2 linked regions of the Astyanax mexicanus genome follow. The protein of the gene in region 1 purifies or fractionates together with the protein of each later gene. This does not show direct contact. Links are inferred from orthologs where the notes say so. Each region holds a gene or a part of one and is shown on either strand. Other genes may lie near its edges.

Region 1 (10,867 bases):
ATTATTGCGGTAAATCTCAAAAAAAGGATTTGTATGCTGGTATTTTTTTGTGAGGAAGACAAAAATAATAGGTGTTGTGTAATTTAAGCCATTTTTACTTTATGACAATATCTTTAATGCTTTTTCATTTGAATATTTTAATGTACTGAGCTTCACCATCAAACAGAAGCACCTGTGTGTATGGGGTGGTGGGAATTAAATGTAAAGATTTAATTTATATTTCAGCATAAATAAATAGTCTTTACTTTCTTAACTTGATTGTAGCATACCTGAATAAATCATTTAATGTGTCTTCAGGCTGTAAACGAATGAATAACAGGAAACCGGCACCAAATTTGGCAAAATGATTATTTCATGTATTAAAAAAAAAAAAAAAAAAAAAAAAAAAAAAAAAAACATATTCAGAGTGTGTGTGTGTGTGTGTGTGTGTGTGTGTGTGTGTGAGAACTCACGCGATCTGCAGTGCTCTGGTACCCAGTACTCTGGCTCTCTCATATTTGGTCATGTAGGGGGTGGTGATTCTCTTCTGATTGGCCTGCTGACCCTCTCCAGCAGGGAGAATCTGCACGTTCTCCTGATCCTCCTACACACACACATTTTTTTTTTCTCAATAATGTTTTTAATACATAAAAAAAGCAACAACAGCCCAAAAAAAAAAAAAAAAAAAAAGTACCACTGTTTCTTTCAATTTTAAATATTTAAAACAGGCAGACAATATCTGGAGACAACATTAACGAATCATTGTATTAATAACTTTAAAAGACAATAATAGTATATGATAAATACCAAAACAAGTATCATTAACTGAACGATTACTGACATTTAGTCATCTTTAATTATTCATTTTTTCTTACACTGGCTTATTTATGCAGATAATACTTTCTAAGAATTCTTAATTAATACTCAGTTTTTTACATTACAATATAACGCAATACTAAACTTAATATGCCTGTTGCAGTTTTTTTTGTGTGTTTTTGGTTTTGATTTGGATCAACTGCTGTAAAAAAGATGTGAAATCCAGAGAGTGACTAGAGTTTTTGACTGAATGGAAAAAGGTCAAAATTTAAGAAAAGTCAGAATATCTCTGACTTTTCGCCAAAATGCAGAAAAGCGGGATGGAGAAGGGTTTTCCGAATATATTATTATGTATTAAGCTTATATGCTTACACTAAATGTTTCACTTACTACTCTATACCCTGCGCAAGTGCCCAGCTTGTATACAAGTATGGCGACTCTCTTGTCAGTTTGCACAGGTGGATGATTAGAAAGGAAAGGTCCTACAGATGGTCTAATCATAATGCAGAGCTTTTTAAATTATGTTTTTGTCAGAAATGCTGAATCCAAACCTGCTCTAAAAAATAAACTACATTCCCCTAAAATAGTGTGCTTTGTTTGCACTCCCAGATATAATACTTTAGCCCTGATTAAATGTGCCACTGCTTGTCCTGCACGGCATCTTTAAAATGCAAACTTCACTGCCATAAAGGGATTGCAAATGGACATGAAAATCTCTCCATTTTGCTTGTTTAGAACCCACTCCCAGTCACGGCAGCCTACCTAATCTAAAGTTTATACCTGCAGTGAATGAAAACACAGTTTATTTCTTTTAAAACCTGGCTACTGTGGGTAAGATCTATTACTCAGACTCAATAAATTAAGGGTTAATAATGGAAATTGGCTTAGCTTTGGGCTGTGTATAAATTTGCAATACCGATACCAGTATGGTACCTTAAACTTGATACAAATACCCAAACGGTACTTTTTAGGTATACCACAGTAGTTATTTATTTTATTGCATGACTTGGCATTAATATAGGTTTCTGAGTTACTGTACTGTTAGTAGTACATATAATATAAAATTAAGGCTTTGATTAGTATTGGGTTTACTTTATCGCACAAGAAATCAGACTCATTATCAGAAAAACAGCTGAAGAACATAAATAGACCTTAAAAATATACGCCAACAACTTTGACACAACTTCCTTTACAAAATATTTTAAATAGTTCCATAAACACTATAAATGGACCTAAAATACTCTATGTTTAAAAACTACTATGTTTAAGTATTCAAAGAGATATTTCTCAAAAGCTCTATTGCACAAGTAAGACACAAGTTTTATATAAATTTACTATATGTTACTCCCGAAGCCAATAGAGGCATTATAGTATTTAAATCTGCCACAATTCCTCTTTCTCCATTTAAAAAATCTATTCAAATAATTCAAGCTACAGTATAAATATATTTAAAAGGGCTGTAGTTACTGCTCTATTTTACTGGGATAAAAACACTCATACAGTAGAAACAGAAGCAGCCAACATGAGTAATCTCATCCTCATCTTGTGTGCGTCACGGCGCCATAATGGTTGTTTTTACCGCGCTGTGTGAGCTCTCTCGCGTTTGGTGCGTTTCATGCGAAATATTGAAAACCAGCACCCAAATTTCTTTAGACATTTCGTCACTCGTAGTACCAAGACATTTCAACCGGTAACCATTGCTATCGATTTTTATACCCGGCCCTATCCACCTTATTAAACACAATTATGGCTCTAACTGGGTCAGTGTTCAGTATTGATGATTAACAATGAAATGACTTAGAAATCATATTTGCATTTTTGGTAGTACAAAGAGTTTATCAACAGATTTCATTTGCTATGTATATCACCATGTTTCTTTTATTACAATTTTACACTTTTCCTTAACTAAGAAGGTTTTGCATGGTTCCATTTTTAAAAGATATGTTTGTATGCTGATTTTAATACTAATACTGCTATTAAGTTTTATTGTGTTTGTATACTATTGAAAACATATAGCCCTAAATTGTGCTGTTTATGTATATTCTGCCACATCTTCAAAAAAAAAAACAAAAAAACCCTGAATCAACTTTTTTAATTTCAGTAAATTTTAAGAATGTATAACGTAATTGTAATAAATAATCTCTCATACATTTGAATGTAAACCATATAAACCACAGCAATACCACTGAGCCACATACTACCATATCAGAATATATGCATGTAAGCAAATTATTTAAGAGTGTGTATTAAAAGTTATGTTTATTCTTTTTCCCCCAATCTGCACCAAATGACAATCATGAGATGTTTCACACAACCCTAAAGACTAGGCCTGTCATGATATCTATTTTTATTGGGTTATTTAATTTTGTTGTCCAAAAAATAAACAAATGACAAAATTGTTATTATTTGACCAGTTTATGCTATTGATATGATAGCATAATAATACAATTGCAATGTTTTAGCAATTATTTAGACTACAATTATTAGGGAATGGTGAGACATGAGATTTGGTAAATACATTTTAAATAATATAAATAAAATGTGAAAAAAATATTTGTGGAAACGTGGACCTATCAGCCGATTTATGTTTATGGGCTATTCCTGCTAAGAAAAGCATAATTAGAAACGTTGAGGTGAACAAATTAATTAATTAATTAATTGGGATAAGAAGACTAGAGCAAAATCTGCAGTGTCTGCAACTCTAGTCATCTAATAAAGATGAACCTGAATCAGATCTGAGAGATCAAAACACTTACATCTTCCACATTCTCCAGATCATCCAGTCCCTCGTCTTCCTCAACATCATCAAAATCTCCATCATCAAAGCTGAAACGGACAGAAGAGGATCAGATTAAAGCAGCAACACTCAGAAAGCACCGATTATACAGGAATCAGACTGACAGCACATTTAACACACATCCCCCAGACAGAGAGTTTAAACACTCATTAATACACTGCCTGGCAAAAACACTGACATTAATACACTGGCAAAAAAAAATCACCACGTGGATTTAATTAAAAAAATAGGTAAGAGCCTTCAATTGGATAATTACTGCATAAGTGATTAAGTTTGATGCAGTGAGTAGCTCCTAATTTGTAAAAACATCCATGTGGAAAGACTCATCCTTTGGTCATAGAAAATATGTTGTTGTTGTTTTTTTTTTTGTTTTTTTTTTTTAGAAAAGTCTAATTATTGGCATGCATTAAGCAAAGAAAACATCTTAGGAGATGGGAATCGGGTTATCGCATTATTAAAAACTTGAAGGACAGAGGGGAACATCATCTTCCTGGAAGGAAGAAAAAAGAAAAAAAATCTTGAATGAACATGATCTGCAATCATTTAAACACTTGGTGAAATCAAATGGTAGAAAAAACTAGAACTCAGTGACATTGTTAATAGTGAAAGTAAGAGCATTTCCACATGCACAACTCAAATTTGAGGGAGAATAAAGATTGGACTCAATGGAGCAATGGAAGAAGGTCATGTGCTCAGATGAGTCCAGATTTACCCTGTTCCAGAGTGATGGGCGCATGAGGGTAAGAAGAGTGAAGGCTGTACCCATGCACCAATCATGCCTAATGTCTACCGCATTTTGCACTATAAGGTGCACTTAAAATCCTTTAACTTTCCCAAAAATCATCAGTACACCTTATAATTCACTGCTCACGATCAATAACTGTCTATTTTTTGTCTATTTTAATAAATAAGGCTCGCCGGATTATAAGCCACATTATGCAACACTATTAAGGAACAGGGGTGTCTCTTTATGTTAATCTACACAGATTTCTCTTCTGAAAATTGTTTATTTGGGTGAGTAAAGAGCTTTTGTTTATTTACTGTAAGCTTAGATTTTCTGATTTCCACTAAGGTTGGGTGCAGCAATATTAACATTAGCAGCTAATCACTAGCACTAGCCATGGTTAGCACCTAACACCGCCCGCCAGCACTACATTAAGGAACCCTGAGTGTTCCAGTAAGCCAGGCTGATATTAGCTAGCGATTCATCCCACATAGCTTGTTTTAACACGGTAAACACGCAGACTACAGTCTGATATATTCACCTCTAAACAGAAAAAAGAAGGCTAGTGCTTAACGCAGTTAGCACATAATGCTAATGCTGCTCCAGCAGTGCTAGTCGGGGTAAGCAGCAGGCTACAGGCCGATAATACTCACCTCTGAATGGCGAAAAAAATATCGCTTAGTGGGTAATGCTAATACTGCTGGAGAACTAAACTGAATCTCCTGTATAACTCTGTACTTCAGCAGAGTGACTTGAAGGATGAAATGATTTTAAGTGCACCTAAAAGGGCAAAAATACAGTACTATACAAGCCTGTGGTGCAGTGATATGACCTGGGGTTGCTGCAGTAGGTCAGGTCTAGGTTCAGCAACATTATTGCTGAAAACACTACTGAGCTGACTGAAATATAACACACTATTTAGGTTATTATCAAAATACTTTGCATTATGGATTCTCATAACCTTTAAAATTACATAAGATTAAAAGATTACACCGAAATCATATTTTCCAGCTTAATCACTTTATACTTGCTGTCCTGCATGCGTCCACCCGGTTATGGCAAACTGCATGACTGGATGGACCATTTTATTGAAAACTGGCATTTGATAGTAACATGTTTGATATAGAGTTGCAGACATGTTGAATTATTCATGATGACCTTTTCTGCTTTAAATATACATCCTGATTTTACAATATGACTTTAATTACCATAATATTTTAATATATTGTTTGTCATTAGCATTTTCTTAAAATAGGTGTAAAACGTACTTTAATATATCAAAAAAGAAATGAAGTTTTACTTAGTTTTCGAATTTTATAGTGTTTTTTTTTCACATTTCATAATTTTTTTTCACAATTTCCATATTTCATTGTTTTGTGCAATTTAGATTATAAGACTGAAAAAAACCCCTGAAAATCTAACCTTTATCAGTTCAATTTTCTAACCTCTTAAGGTTAAACTCTGGTTGATTGTAGTAAAAAAAAAAAAAAAAAAAAAAAAAAAAAAAACTGGGTGTAAAACAGAGAGACAAAAATACTACTACTACTACTACTACTACTACTACTAACAACAACAACATTACAAATGAGTCAATACTTTATATATATATATATATATATATATATATATATATATATATATAATTATATAATATATTATATATATAAAATTATGACTATTTCTATTAGTAGTTGTCTCTGATATAAACTCTGGCTAAACTTGGTTATCAGTGGTTTATTAATAACGTTATTGATATTAGTAGTAGTAGTAGTGGTATTGCTTCTAATATAACCTGGTAAACTCGGTTATTTAATCAGTGGGTTATTAATAATGTTATTTATATTAGTAACTTAGTAGTAGTAGTGGTATTGCTTCTAATATAACCTGGTAAACTCGGTTATTTAATCAGTGGGTTATTAATAATGTTATTTATATTAGTAGTAGTAGTGGTATTGCTTCTAATATAACCTGGTAAACTCGGTTATTTAATCAGTGGGTTATTAATAATGTTATTTATATTAGAAATAATAGTAGTATGGTGGTAACATGGTGATATAAACTGGGTAAACTCGGTTATGTAATCAGTGGGTTATTATTAATGTTATTTATATTAGAAATAGTAGCAGTAGTGGTATTGTTTCAGATATAAACTGGGTAAACTCGGTTATTTAATCAGTGGGTTATTAATAATGTTATTTATTTTAGTAGGAGTACCGTAAGTATTGTCTCTGATATAAAGTCTGGGTAAACTCGGGTTGTTTAGCGATTATAAACACTTACTTGTCCTCGTTGTCAGACATCCTGGATTGAGTGAGGATCTACTGGTTAAACTAGAGGCTTATTTAGAAGTAAATTACAGTAAAATAACCTATTTATTCTATCAGTAATTAAAGCCACACCGCAACCTGCACCCCGCGCTGCTTCAGCGGTGTTCTCCTGTAAACTGTCCGGGTAGAAACACGGAGCGCACACCGAAAATGACCTGTGGCGGGGAGAGGGAGAGGGAGGGAGAGGGAGGGAGGGGGAGGGAGAGGGAGGGAGAGGCGTTGTTTATACCGCTAAATAAAACTTCTCAATGTGACAATTAATGCGGTAAAGTTTCCAGATTCACGGTATCATCACGTTATCACAGAAATAAACGCAAACAGAATCAGATTTTGCAAATTGCATAGACTCATATTTTGTTCTGAAGCTCATTTTAGTCATAATTATGATTTTTTGGAAAAAAAACATGGGTCCCACACTAAGTCATAATTATGAGATAATTGAGATAATATCTTATAACTATGACTTGCTATGCCATAATTATGATTTATTATCTGATAATTATGACTCAATATTTCAGAATGATGACTTAGCATCTTATAATTATTACTTTATTATTTCATAATTCTGGGAGAAGAATGTTTTCCCAGTCTTGTCTGATAAAGGATTGTAGCCAATCAAAAGAGTGCCATGCACTACTGCAATGCGAGTGCCATGCACTAATGCAACAGAGATGCAGGCTTTTAAACTGTGCGCAGTATGAGAAAATAAACACACACATGACACAATTAAATGTTTAATGTTTTGTTTTTTTTGTTTTTTGCACTGCCATCATAATGTTTATCACAAGCCGCCACTTTAAACGAGTTATTGTTTTTATCTGTAATTGTAACATTCCAGCACATCCTGTGATTTCCGTGCTCTATTGAGAATAAAACATATTTAATCTATTAGATTTAAATTCTAATAATAATTACACAGCACAGCAGCATCAGTAGATCTCTTTGCCAGTGCGGAGAATGAGCCTTTGCATAAATGCTCTAGCCATGAGACCTGCTTTAGGCTTTTCTCTCTGACAGAACTGAAGGACAGTATATAGACACACCTAGCTGGATCCAGAGCTGGTTAAACTGGATCAGGTGTGTTAGAATAGAATAAAATCTGCTTATTTAACTCCTGAATTTAACACTTAAAATGAAAAATGTCTAAACAGCAAGGAGGAACAGAACACAATACTGTAATAATATTGATTCATAATATTTTTTCTCTCACTGGTCACGTTGCAATTGCAATTGAACTGCTAAAAAAATACGTTTGTTTTTTGCTAATATAATTAAAAATGTTAGACAGCTCTTTTGGGGTTAAACATGAGAATGTTTAGAAATTATTAAATTATTAATTTATCTACTATGAAAAATGTATCAAAGAAGAAGAACAAATTCTAGACATTTTCCAAGGAGCTGAGTGGAACACTGTTTACTAGATTGTCCAGAAGGTGTCGTTGTTGCATAAGGCATTCCTCAGAATCTATATCCAGGGCCAGTTTAAATTATCCTCAGTTACAACACACCACATCTTCAGTTAATTATTAAACCCTTTAAGATCTGGATCAGGTTTGGTGTGTTCAGGGCATAGCTGTGTGTGGTAAGCACCTTGTGAGCATTGGAATGTAAAAGCACTGATATTCTGGTATATATTTGATAGAAATCTGAAAGTGATTCTACAACACATTTATATCATAAAACAAGTAAAGAGATCTGCCCAGTTTCTACAGTAACAGAATATTTAAGAATTTCACTAGTCTGGATTTGTTAGATTTCAGTACAGCTGAAGATTTGTGTAATATGTGTGAATTGTGGCTTCTTATTATGACTCTTTAGCATGAACTGAACTCACAATAAAGACAATAATTTCCAATAAAACACCCAGTGTCATTAAAAAAGAAACAGAAAGTAATAGGAGAGTTTGTTGTTTAGAGCAGCAGATAGCAGAGTTCAAAGTGTGGCTTTTCAGAGTGTAGTAAATGTGTTGGATTGTACTCTGGTTAAGTGATAAAACTGTATTTTACTACTCTATCCCACAATCTTACTACCGAACAATCTCTGTGAACGCATCTCAGTATTGGTGTAATATCTATTATCAGTGTCCTTTAAAGCAGTGATCATTTCATTTATGCTTTTATAAAGTTGGTGTATAATTATTGTTTGAGCCTGTTCTTGAAGAGCTATATTTTAAGCTCTGAAAGTACTTTAAAATGAACACATTATTACATAGAAACATATTACATAGACAAATATTATATTTACTTTATACTGTCCAGTTAACACCATAACTTTGGTGGTGGACTATTTGTAATAATGTTATATGAGAGATAAACCTTAAAGACATACTGGCCTTCTGCTCACATAGCAATGGTAGAAAGAAACCTGTATGACTGAATTCTGCAGATTATGTGGAAGTCAGCTTTTAGACTGTGGAGAGTAGTGTAATGATCAAATTAAACCTGGAATGGTAGGAATTGGCTGAAATACAATAATTAAAAAACATAATAAATAGAAAAAAACATAATAAACAGAAACAGAAAATGATAATTTGTGAATAATAAAGGAATACAGAAAATAGGAAGAGAAATAAAATAGAGATTTAACAAATGGAAAAAATTGTTAAATCTCTTTGTTTTTTTTTAGGGACAGTTTGGAAGTCAGAGGCAGCTCACAGGGCTTAGAGTTAGAGAGGTATTCCATTTTTTTTTCAAATAACAACCATAAATTGTATGTATTTTATTGAGATTTAAGTGATAGACCAACAAAACGTAGCACATAATTGTGAAGTGGAACAAAAATGATACATGGTTTCCAAAATTTTAATCATAAAAATCTAAAAAATATGTCATGCAAAAGTATTTAACCCCCTTAATTCTGAACCCTCTAAATAAAAACCAATGCAATTAATTGACACTTAATTAGGTAATAGAGTCCAGCTGTGTGTTATTTACAGCTGTTCTGTATCATGGTTTAATAGAGATCTCTCTAGTGATTAACAGTGACATAACATATACAGCTCTGGTCATGCAGGAGATGTGTTTTGGTCTCATGGTTCCTGACTCCCAGTCGCTGACCGTAAGAACAGCACCGAAAAACAGAGGTTTAGTATCTTAAATCCATTTTGTGTCAAGCAGACCACTAATATCAGTTTTTCTGCTTAAACTGTCAGAAACAAGTGGGGCTTGTTGTTACAGCCCAACACTGTGCAGGGATATCCATCAATGGTAGGTAGCATCACAGACTGTCTAGGAGTTGACTGATGCTTTAATACAGATCAGGAGCACGCCCAGGCGTTGTAGGAAGGTCATACAGGACCTGGTGTTCGCTTTATTTATTTGTGAAAAAGTGGCGCTGCGTTTCCACTACATTCCGCTGTGGGGCGCTGATGAGCTGCGTATTTAAAGTGAAAGTAAAAAATAATCAGTCCGACATTTTGTTGTTTATGAGATGCAGGTATAACAGGTGACACAAAATGGCTTTAAGATACTAAACCTCTGTTTTCCGGTGCTGTTCTTACGGAGGTCCGGTGCAGCGTTAGAATAGGACAACTGTTTGAGCAGCGTTTATAAAGAGGTAAGAGTCTACACCCACCCACAACTAACCCTAAATTCTTACAGCTCTGTTTTTGATCCGGGAAAAGGTTTTTGTTGTTGCTGAAAAAGGTTAACCAAACCTGCACATGAAAACTACTGTCCGTACCCGGACTGTGGTCAGAATTTGAAAAGCTGGCTTTTCTGTTTATGTATGTGTGTATGTATGCATGTATGTATGCTAAAGCAGGTTGGATTTTCTGTTAGATTTTTTTAGTTCATTTCACTGTTTTTATTTTCATATTTCTTGTGCAGAATATTTAGTACAGCTAGCTGTTTGTCACAGCTTTGTCCATCAACCGACTACTCAACTTAAATTTAATATATTAGAAAATGTTTTGATTTTTACTGTGGATTATGACACAGTATTCAACATGATGATTATGCCAGTAATGTTGATTACATGTTGATTATGCCAATTAATTGCAATACGCTAGGAGAAACATTGCACTGTACAAGCCCTTACAATACTGCACTTTGCAGAAAGGCTGCAGTCAGAACATACAGTCATGGCCGAAAGTGTTGGCACCCCTGATTTTTTTTCCAGAAAATGAAGTATTTCTCCCAGAAAATTATTGCAATTACACGTTTTGTTATACACATGTTTATTTCCTTTGTGTGTATTGAAACAACACAAAAAACTGAGGAAAAA
Region 2 (10,867 bases), on another chromosome or scaffold:
GCAGTTCATTTCTATTCCTGCATACACTAAAATACGACTTTTTGAATATCTTTGGCTTCTTAGAGGAAATATTTCTAAAACTGAAGAATTGAAAAAGATACTGGAGCATCTGAGCCCAGTGCCAGACATTGCAACAGCTTCTTTCCCTAGACAGACTAGGGATTCCTGGTCCTGGAGACCTACCAGAATTTAGCCCCTCTTCCCTAATCTCTCACACATGGTGCAGGTAATGTAGGCCTTTAGGGACAGGGGAACATTTCAGACTTACGTGTAATAGATCTGAAATAATCAATCCCCAGAACCAGGAATGTGCTTAGCTGACCTATGCCATTAGACTTCTCAACAAACTCAACAAGGACTAAACTGAACTCCTACACACCTCACACACTAACAAACATCTCTCACTGACCCACAAACACCTCTTTTTGATGTTCTTCCTGTGTCTATCTGCATACTCTTCAGTAAACAATACTTCAATTTTTATACAGAAATACTGTTATTATTAGGTTTAATGCACACTAAAAGTAATGTCTAAATAATTTAGGTTACTACAATCTCAATGTACAATTATCAAAAAAATGACCTAATACATTGCCTTATAAATAATGTCTAAGACAACGACATCCAAAAAAGGCAGAGGCCTGTTTAAGTGTTATGTAGCCTGTATTGTACTGTTTTGATCCATGTTGCACCCATGGTCCAGATGAAACATGAACATACAGCTTTTCTATTAAACACAATGCACACATATGGTCCTTGTATTTCACTTTAAAAAATAATTGGATTAAACCCCCCACCTCAAGAATGAAGCCCTTTGAAATAATGTATTATATTATTTTGACAAATCTCAACTCAGGCATATTACTGCTTTCAATTTAAAAAAAGAAATCATAAAGATTGCTTCTTTAAGTAAAAAGCTTATTTATTTTTATATTTTTCCCCTGCAAATAGGCTTTCACCTTGGGAACTCCTTGCTGATAATTTTCTTAGAAGCACCACAAATTATTAAGCTGTAAATCCAATCTAAAGGGATCAGCTGTTTGGTTTGTAGTGTAATGTAAACAGTAGCTGAATGGGCCTAATCCATTTTTATCCATTAGTGCAGCTCAGACTGCATAGTCAAACACTGCAGCTGTGCAGATCTTATCGTCTTTATTTGAGCAACAGGTCAACAAATTACTCAGATCTAGACCTTGGTATTTAACTGCGGGAGGCTTTACAATCACACGATTTCAAGCCTAAACGGTAAACATGTTTACACATGTTTGGTCAATAAAAGACACACTTTTTGGTCTGTAAGAGGCATTCAGAAAAGACAGGTAACCTAACAGCACAGCTGCAGCAGAGGTCTGGCAGCGCAGTTTAGCTAGTCGACAATGGAAATGATTAGCTAGCTAACTACCACACACAGAACAGTATGTTAAGCGCTCATGAAATATATCGCGAAATAAATCATACGAAAACGATAGCTAGCTAACTCTCACACCATAATATGATATGAAAAACGACAATGTTTGCCTTTCTCCACTGACAACGCGAGCAGGCTAGGTAACCATCTAGTTAACCTATCTAAGCTAGCTGGCTAACATCAAAATGTTTGGCTACACACGTTGAAAAGGCTGTTGCTTGTATAGCATTAGTTAGCTTAGCTTAGTTTAGTTCACGCGACAATGTGGTTAGTAACGTTAGCTAGTTAGCTAGCTAAATTAGCTAGGTTAGATTTTTAACGTTCTTGTGATTACAGGAGGTAGTGTGAACCCGGCTGGCAGTCGATAGTCCTAAATCTGAATTTCTTTTGGTATCCCAACGTTATATTTCGTATTCAAACAAGGAGAACGTGATATTAACATGGTTTAGTTATTAGCTAGGTTAGGTAGCGTTAACTTACCTACAGCAGCTCCCAGTCGGTCATTCTCGCAGTGGTGAAAATTAAATTAAATAAAAAAAATTAAAAGTACTAAGGCTAAGTTTACCTGAAGTGTTAAAACAGACATGAAGGAACCCAGGTAAGTGAAGCATTAGACTGCAGCTCGAAATTGAGCTAAACCCATTTACGTAGCTATTTAACAGAGATGTTATTTACAAAACACGCTTTCTATTCTTTTCTAAGTCTCTACTGAACTTTGTCCAATAAGCTTTGCTCACAGATGACTGTCCAACCTAAAATGCAAGACTGAACTTCAAGACAGCTCACTAAACCACAGCCACTGGAGCTCTCCTCCAGCAAACTCCAATCTTATTGGTTGTTAGAGATTGGCAATTCAGGTCCAGAAAATTTAAATCCATGCCAGGATTATGTTCCAACTTCCTGGTGTTAGAGTTGGTCTGCAGAGTCACCCATGCAGTTGAAACAAAATCCTGGAATGGATTTTTACTCTCTGGACCTTGCTGCACACCATTGGCTGAACTATGAAATACAAATATGAATTTTAAGCTTTTAAAATATGTAATACCATGTTTTATTATGGCATTAATTTCCTATTAAAACTTTAATAAAAGGCTCTTTCTTAATCAAATTATTAGATTCAGATATATATTAGATTCAAATAGATTAGATTTAGTCTTTTAACAGAATGTAATGTAGTCAATATCAAGACCTGAAGTTACGGTGACCAGGTATATATATTTATTTTTTATTTTTTCAACAAAAAAAAAATTAAAAAGGATATATTTTGTACTTTTTTTTAATTTATTATACACAAAATATTTTCGTATGAAATACAGCATGCATATTGTAATATTTATGTTGTAATACAATATATTGTAGTGTCCCAAAACCCATACCCTGTTTAATACCTTACACCCTTTTCATTTTTGCAAACAAAAAACATTTCACATTAGTTTGTATTTTGTTTATCAAAAACTGTTTTTGAACCTAGTTTTACACCTGAATATTTATTATTATGTCACATCTATATATGTAGCCCATAATAGGCCAGACGCAATTCAGATTATGGATCCAAAAGCACAAATATGTTAAATTACTTGAGCAGTTAATTTATGTTTTTCTGTCTCACTGTGATAAAAGAAAAACTATTTAATTTTAAAATCATGATATAAATAGTATAACCACAATTTCATAATTAGTATTTTAACATTTTGTTCTGGAAATTGTACCAGAACTAGTTACAATGGCATTTTGGGCCACTCTTTCTTTTTTTAAGCATTTGAATGGTTACATGTTTGGAAAAGACCTGTGAGCTAAAGCTGCACTATTAAAATTAGCTAGTTTTATCTCCAGACAATCACACACTGTCCTGTGATGCTTTTAGGATGTTCAGTATCTATGTCAGTTCACAGAGTGAAGTGAAGGTCTGTCAAACACAGGTATTGAATGCACAACCTTGCAGTCAATGGCCCGGTGGTCTAACCACTGAGCCACCGCTGCCCCAAATATCAAGTGCAACAACATGTTTCTTTCATTTGATTCTTGTGTTTCGGCAGGTTGTTTTTATGCAAAAGAAGCCAAAAGAAACAAATTAAGAGGAATAAAAATTACATATAGACTTTAAAAATGTGTGCAGTGTAATGGAAAATAATATTTCACAATATAAGATAAAAAAAAAAAATTAAGTACAGTAACAAATTACACATACTTTGTTACAATCCACCATCGCTAACAGGTAAAACCAAAGTAAGACTGGCTCAAGACAACTAAACAGTGTGTAGTGATCTGTTGTTCAGTAAAGCCTGTATGTTATGTTTTAACAGAGAAGCGAAAGAGAGGAAGTATGTATTTGCTCTGCTGTAAATTGCACACATCCTTTTTTCTCCCCTGACCCATTTAAACACCCTGGCTCCAGCTTCTAACCACCAACACCCTTTTTGAGAAAACAATCCTTTGACTGCACTAAACTGCAAGGGGATTAATAGGTGGCTCTGCATAAACAAAAAAAAACAAAATGTTGGATTTCATGATATTTTATTTAAAACAGGTGTTATTATTAGGTTTTCCAGCTAACTTTCAATACACACTGTACATGAACTACAATTTAAATGGTAGTTCATGTACAGTATGTAATGACACACCATTTACACAAAAATAAATCAGTTCAGTCAAAAAAAATGCTAATAATTAACATAAAACTACATGGTCACCACAATTAAGTTGCTCATATGTTTCATTCATTATATTTATACATATAAATACTGGCAACACAAACTCTCATTAATGTAATGAGAAACAAAATGCACCCAGTTCAAAACAACATCCTCGCTCCTAATCTTAAAGGGTTATTTCCTCATCTTATAGGACCTTATAAACCACCATACAAATGCAGACTTCAAAACAAGCAGGAAATAGATTGTGGTGAAGGGTTTCCTGAGATTTCATCACTGGTCTGCATTTGCATCCATCTCAGCATCTCCAGGAGCACCTTCTTCTTGCTGAGGGTCTCCAGGGAGGATTTCAGTGACCTTTTGTATAAGCTCTTCTATCTGATCTTCAGACAATCGTTCTTCACTCTCCTCTACCATCTATGCAAAAAAGAACAGTTTATATAGAACATGTCATACACATGTATACATGTATGCAAAGGTACTCATACATTAAATATTCTTTAATCACTGCAGCAAACAACTAGAAATAGTCTACCTTAGAAACAGACATAAAAAATGAAAGAAAAAAAGAAAAGTCTGACCAGCTGGATCTCCACGGCCGTTTTTGGTCTGTGGTTCAAGAGCTGCAGTTTCTCGGCCCTGAAAAGACACAAAGACAAAAAGTAAGAAAAGGATGAAAAGGAAATCTGACTAAACATTTCCCAAACAGTGACATAATCCATACAACGGTGACAAGACAAAAGAGAGAAGACACAATATACAATTTACTGCAGGCTGCTACGCCACATGACAAGTCATAAAGTGCACCGTGCTGTGTCTCAAAGTGAAAATTATATAGTTGATCAGCAGAGGGCAGACAAACCACACTCTGTAATTAGAGATACAAAGTGAACGTGCACCACAGCACATGTGACATAGCAGATGAACTGTCAAGTGTAAGTTTAGAACAAGCTGCTGGGGATTTTCAAAAGCAAAAATAAATCAAGTCAACCAAAAACTGAACAGCATTAGAAATGGGCCAAAGTTGCCAGTATGACTATTCTTACTTGGTGAGTTTGTGTGGGAGCATTGCAGTCAGGAAATCTTTTACATTCTCAGGACTCTGGTGAGAACATGGCGTCTTAGAGAGGTACTTCAGAGTCTGCAGGAGAAATAAGACAAGCAACAGAATAAAAATATACATGAAGGCTGACTGGAATATGTAAATATTTTCTACACTGCATGATGATTAAATAAAAAAATTAAACAGTTGTATAATGCTGCAGTTAATGTACAGAATTCTACTTAACATAATTAAGTAAGTATGTAAGCAACAAAGCCCAGTCATCCCATTTGTTAACACTGCTCAAATAATAGAGAGACAAATAGGGGTGGGTAAAATGAAAGAAATAAATCTTAATAATTGTCAAACTATACACAATCTATTCACCATTATTGTATTACTGTTCTCCTTGATTAATAATAATAAATACCAACAAATATAAAAAATAAGTTTCATTTATCTTGGGCTCTTTGTGGTTGCCCTTTTATTAATCTATATCATAACAAAAGATTTTAAAAATCATTGCACCGCAATGTAAAACTTGATGGAAAGAATGCTCTGCCGGGTCACTAACCTCATACATTATTGTGTTAAGGTTCTGTTGTCCAGTGCTATGCTTGTTTTTAACCATCTCTTTTCTCTTCTCTTTCAGCTCAATGAGAAGCTGATACACCTAACAGGGTAAAAGCACAAAACACAAATTTACAAACCCTCAGCAAACTAAAAAGCCTGAAATTAACCAATATTTCCTTTTCTGTGCATGGATGGTTAAAGCATCAATGTGTCTTTCAGTCATTTTTGACATATCAATACTACTTAATAAAATAAAAATTATTAATAGTGTACTTGATTAATAGACGTAAACATAAGTAAAATTACTGACCTCAAAATTGCTGAGCATGGCAGCATTTGCATCCCTCCTGCAGCACAGACATGGATAAGTGTTTAAATAACAATTTAAGCAATGGTAGGTGAAGTTGTGCTGTTCAAAATGATGTTCAGCTGAGAAGAATCAACACTTAAAATTTCATTCAAATATCTCTATTTACAACCCAGGACTAAACCAGAGCTAAATCAGTAGAGTGATTACACAATCATAAAGGTTACTTATGGTAAAGAGCTTTGTGGCAAATTTAAACACAACATTTAGAAAGTGAAAGCAGGAGTTGCAGCAGAATGCATTAATAAAGACTAGTTTTGTGGACGCATGCATTGACATTTGTTACCTAACATATGTAATGCAAATGAGGGCCACACAAGCTTATGGTATTTTAGGTCACAATTTGTATGCATATATGTCACAATAAACACTACTGATAACAGTAATGAACACTTAAATGGTTAAGTAATGCCTCATGTTTAATTGACCCTAGATAAGATATTATTAAACATTAGTACATTTAAATTCTTTAATGCATAGGAATTATGTAAATAATTAGATAAAAAAAGTTGTACTCTTACTGTAAAATGTTACTTATATATACAGTACCAGTCAGTTTGAACACACATCATAGATTTTTTTCTTTATTTATTTACTACATTGTAGATTGATATTAAACACATGAAACAATGTAAGGACCCAACAAAAGCTGGAACTTTACAGCGTGAAGAAAAAGCAGCAACTATTGTTCAGCACTCCTTTCTTCAAGACACTAAGAAAACTATTTCAGGTAACTTAAGGACACTGAGAAAATACTAATATTGTAGATAATTTTATACCCTTAAATATCGTGCCACATCACTCTTCCCTAATTATCACATCAAGTTCTGTTGTTTTTAGCAAAACAAAAATTCGCTTTTACAGAGTATATCTGTGCAGTATCATTTATTTTACTTTAGTCCTGGATATATGGAGATATTAACAGTGCATTATTAGTATCATGACATTTCAGATCTGTTATCTGATAAAAAAGTATTGTATTTTTTAATATCTTAGTCAGGGGTGTGCCATATCACATTAAATGCAATTATAACACTTCAATTTTTTTTTTACAGTACAGTATTCTAGAAGTTTTCACCAAGAGTATTGTTAGTAGCTTATCCGGTTGTTTAGCATGGATGTCTTCCTAACATAATTTTGTGTTTCTAGCTATTTTATATTGGTTTACCCCAAGACTCGAGGTTAGATGTGGGTAACTGTAGATTAATAAGCCCATAAACCAGCAGCAGCTCTTCATGTTTCTCCTAACCTCACTCAGCACTGCCTAGACCTCCCAGCGGCGCCACGAGCCAGACACCCGGTTAATATTTACATTAGCGGTTTATCTATATCTATTATAGTAATATATTTTTAATGTTCGTAACCAGTTAAACAAACAGTGACATATAATATATTTCATTTAAATTTTCATGTCTAAACAAAAACATTTTAAACACTCTTACACTTCCATAGTGCACTCTGTTAGGGTCCGCGCCTGTAAACCGTCGGGTAGAAACAGTACCCCACGCATGCGTTCCTACAACAAAGTCAACGACATATCTGCCACAGTTTAGTTAAAAATATTTTTTTATTTTAAAAATAATTACATATAATTAATAATATTTGTCATTTATTTATCTACAACTACAAATAACATAGTATTATTATTATTATTATTATTATTATTATTATTATTATTATTATTATTATTATTATTATTATTATTATTATTATTAATTTATACAACCCCTGGCAAAAAGTATGGAATCACCAGTCTTGGATGAGCACTCCTTCAGACATTTCATTCTGTAAAACAAACTCTGATCAAAAACATGATAGAGTAATAAGGTCATTCCAAAGTGCAACTTGTTGGCTTTCAGGAACACTCAAAGAAATGAAGAAAAAACATTGTGGAAGTCAGTGAATGTTACTTTTATTGACCAACCACAGGGAAAAAATATGGAATCACTCAATTCTGAGGAAAAAAGTATGGAATCACTCAAATTGAAGGTAGAAAATAAGGACACACCCAGTCAATTTCCTTTCCCTAAATGGACACCTGCCTCAGATTAGATCTGCTCGTTAGTCTGCAGTTAAAAACACCTGCAGTCATGACACCTTGGAGGGCTGCTGGACGAATTAGAGTGGCAAGAACCATGGCTCCAACAAGAGAAATGTCTCTTGAAACAAAAGAGAGGATTGTGAAACTTCTTGAAGAAGGTAACTCTTCACGCATGGTTGCTAAAGATGTGGGCTGTTCACAGTCAGCTGTATCCAAGATATGGACCAAATACAAACAGCATGGAATGGTTGTTAAAGCCAAGCGTACTGGTAGACCGAGAAAGACATCAAAGCGTCAAGACAAGCAACTTAAGGCCATTTGTCTTGAAAACCGAAAAAGTACAACTAAACAGATGAAGCATAAATGGGAAGAAGCTGGAGCCAATGTATGTGACCGAACCGTAAGAAATCGCCTAAAGGAAATGGGATTTCAATACAGGAAAGCTAAAAGAAAACCATCATTCACACCTAAACATAAAAGAACAAGACTGCAGTGGGCTAAGGAGAGGCAATCATGGACTGTGGATGACTGGATGAAAGTTATCTTCAGTGATGAGTCAAGAATCTGCATTGGACAAGGTGATGATGCTGGAACTTTTGTTTGGTGCCGTTCCAGTGAGATTTATGAAGAGGCCTGCCTGAAGAAAACAACCAAATTTCCACAGTCCTTGATGATATGGGGCTGCATGTCAGGCAAAGGCACTGGGGAGATGACTGTGGTTAATTCTTCTATCAATGCACAAGTTTACATTGACATTTTGGACAGTTTTCTCATCCCTTCAATTGAACAGATGTTTGGAGATAATGAAATAATTTTCCAAGATGACAATGCATCGTGCCATAGGGCAAAAACAGTGAAGGCATTCCTTGGAGAAAGACACATTCAGTCGATGTCATGGCCTGCAAATAGTCCAGCTCTCAACCCAATTGAAAACCTGTGGTGGAAATTGAAAAAAATGGTCCACAAGAAGGCTCCGACCTGCAAAGCTGATCTGGCAACTGCTATCAAAGAGAGTTGGCACCAAATTGATGCAGAATACTGTTTGTCAGTCATCAAGTCCATGCCTCAGAGACGGAAAGCCGTTATAAAAGCCAAAGGTGGTGCAACTAAATACTAGTGATGTATTTTGAATCATCTTTTGTTTATCTGTTTTTCATGATTCCATACTTTTTTCCTCAGAATTGAGTGATTCCATATTTTTTTCCCTGTGGTTGGTCAATAAAAGTAACATTCACTGACTTCCACAATGTTTTTTCTTCATTTCTTTGAGTGTTCCTGAAAGCCAACAAGTTGCACTTTGGAATGACCTTATTATTGTATCATGTTTTTGATCAGAGTTTGTTTTACAGAATGAAATGTCTGAAGGAGTGCTCATCCAAGACTGGTGATTCCATACTTTTTGCCAGGGGTTGTAATATAGTTTACACATAATGTGTAATACAGTAGGCTTACTTTTCTAAAACACATATTTTAATGAAGTGTTTTATTAACACTTTTAAAATGTGTAATATATAGAAATATTAATAAAAATAATTAAAAATAATGTTTATTGTTTATCTACTACTACTACTACCACTACTACTACGAATAACAACAATACCACAAGCACTACTACCACTCCTACTTCTACTACTACTCCTTATAATAATAATAATAATAATAATAATAATGTATTTGTAATATTATTTACACATATTGTGTTATGCAGTAGGTATGGTAAGTCATAATTATAAAGATAATTCCCCTTAGACTCTATCTATCTCATAATCATGACTTAATTTTTTCCAAGTGTCAGAGATGGGAGTGTGTTTGAGAGGAGGAGGGATATAATATGGGGTGGAGTGTTTGTGAGGGGAGGAGTGTGTTTGAGAGGAGGAGGGATATATTATGGGGAGAAGTGTTTTTTAGGGGAGGGATATGTTGGATATTTGTAAACCAGCAGGCTGTGGCAGCTGTTGCATCAACTGACTGACACTGGTTTGTGAACCTGCATTTCCACGTTAATGATCCTGTAACTGTTAATTAATCTGATTATTTGCCTTCCTTTGGGCAGAGCACCTGCTGCGTGTCCAAACCACAGAACACGTTCCAGGTAAACACAATAGCTAACTGAGTTCATGAGGCTTTTCTTTATAGGCAGCCAAAACACAGCAGCAGCAGTCTAGCCAAGTTTACTAACCTAGCTCTCAGTAGCTCCTACAGAGAGAGAGAGAGAGGAGATAGCTGGACTGGAGAGGAGGGAGCATGGCAGGATCAGAGGTAAGAGCTCTTATAATCTGAATTACAATACTTATCTCTGTTTTTCAGAGCTGATCTGTTTACTTATCTTGATATATTTAGGCAGCTGTTAGCCACAAGCTAGCTTAAAGCTAACCTAAATTTAATGTAAGTCCTCCTAGCTAACTGTCATGTGTTCCTGCCGAGCAGGGAAACAAGCTGTGGGGCGGCAGGTTCGTTGGAAACACTGATCCAATAATGGAGAAATTCAACGCGTCCATCGCTTACGATCAGCGCATGTGGGATGCAGACATTCGGGGGAGTAAAGCTTATGTGAAAGCTCTGCAGAAAGCTGGACTGGTCACTCCGGAGGAATTGCAGCAGATTCTTTCAGGCCTTGACAAGGTTAGATACCTGTAAACTTCAAGCTCAAGTCTCTGTGACTGTGATCCAACACGAGGATAAAACTTTTCTTTAGGGTGCATCACATCTTTTAAGGTTGATGATGGAAAAACAACCTATAAACAACCTTTATTTAACACAGAACAATAGGCATTAGTTAGTGTGA

The links. The genes of interacting proteins can lie anywhere in the genome.
Region 2: the proteins of polr2f (region 1) and DNA-directed RNA polymerase III subunit RPC9 purify together in Homo sapiens (affinity purification with mass spectrometry; 5 studies listed by BioGRID and IntAct, with this or other methods). This does not show direct contact. The link is inferred for Astyanax mexicanus from reciprocal best matches to the Homo sapiens genes POLR2F and CRCP.

What each region holds. Positions count from the first base shown.
Region 1 is NC_064410.1:9,736,587-9,747,453, forward strand, and holds the start of polr2f (DNA-directed RNA polymerases I, II, and III subunit RPABC2), read right to left. Parts: upstream 6,771-10,867; 5' UTR 6,617-6,770; coding exon 6,597-6,616; intron 3,622-6,596; coding exon 3,552-3,621; intron 584-3,551; coding exon 453-583; intron 1-452. UniProt on the Homo sapiens protein: DNA-dependent RNA polymerase catalyzes the transcription of DNA into RNA using the four ribonucleoside triphosphates as substrates.
Region 2 is NC_064424.1:10,203,873-10,214,739, reverse strand, and holds DNA-directed RNA polymerase III subunit RPC9, read right to left. Parts: upstream 7,555-10,867; 5' UTR 7,552-7,554; coding exon 7,484-7,551; intron 6,022-7,483; coding exon 5,985-6,021; intron 5,775-5,984; coding exon 5,676-5,774; intron 5,201-5,675; coding exon 5,106-5,200; intron 4,699-5,105; coding exon 4,641-4,698; intron 4,477-4,640; coding exon 4,333-4,476; 3' UTR 3,906-4,332; downstream 1-3,905. Other genes in the region: asl (argininosuccinate lyase), read left to right, coding at 10,327-10,341, 10,510-10,704. UniProt on the Homo sapiens protein: DNA-dependent RNA polymerase catalyzes the transcription of DNA into RNA using the four ribonucleoside triphosphates as substrates.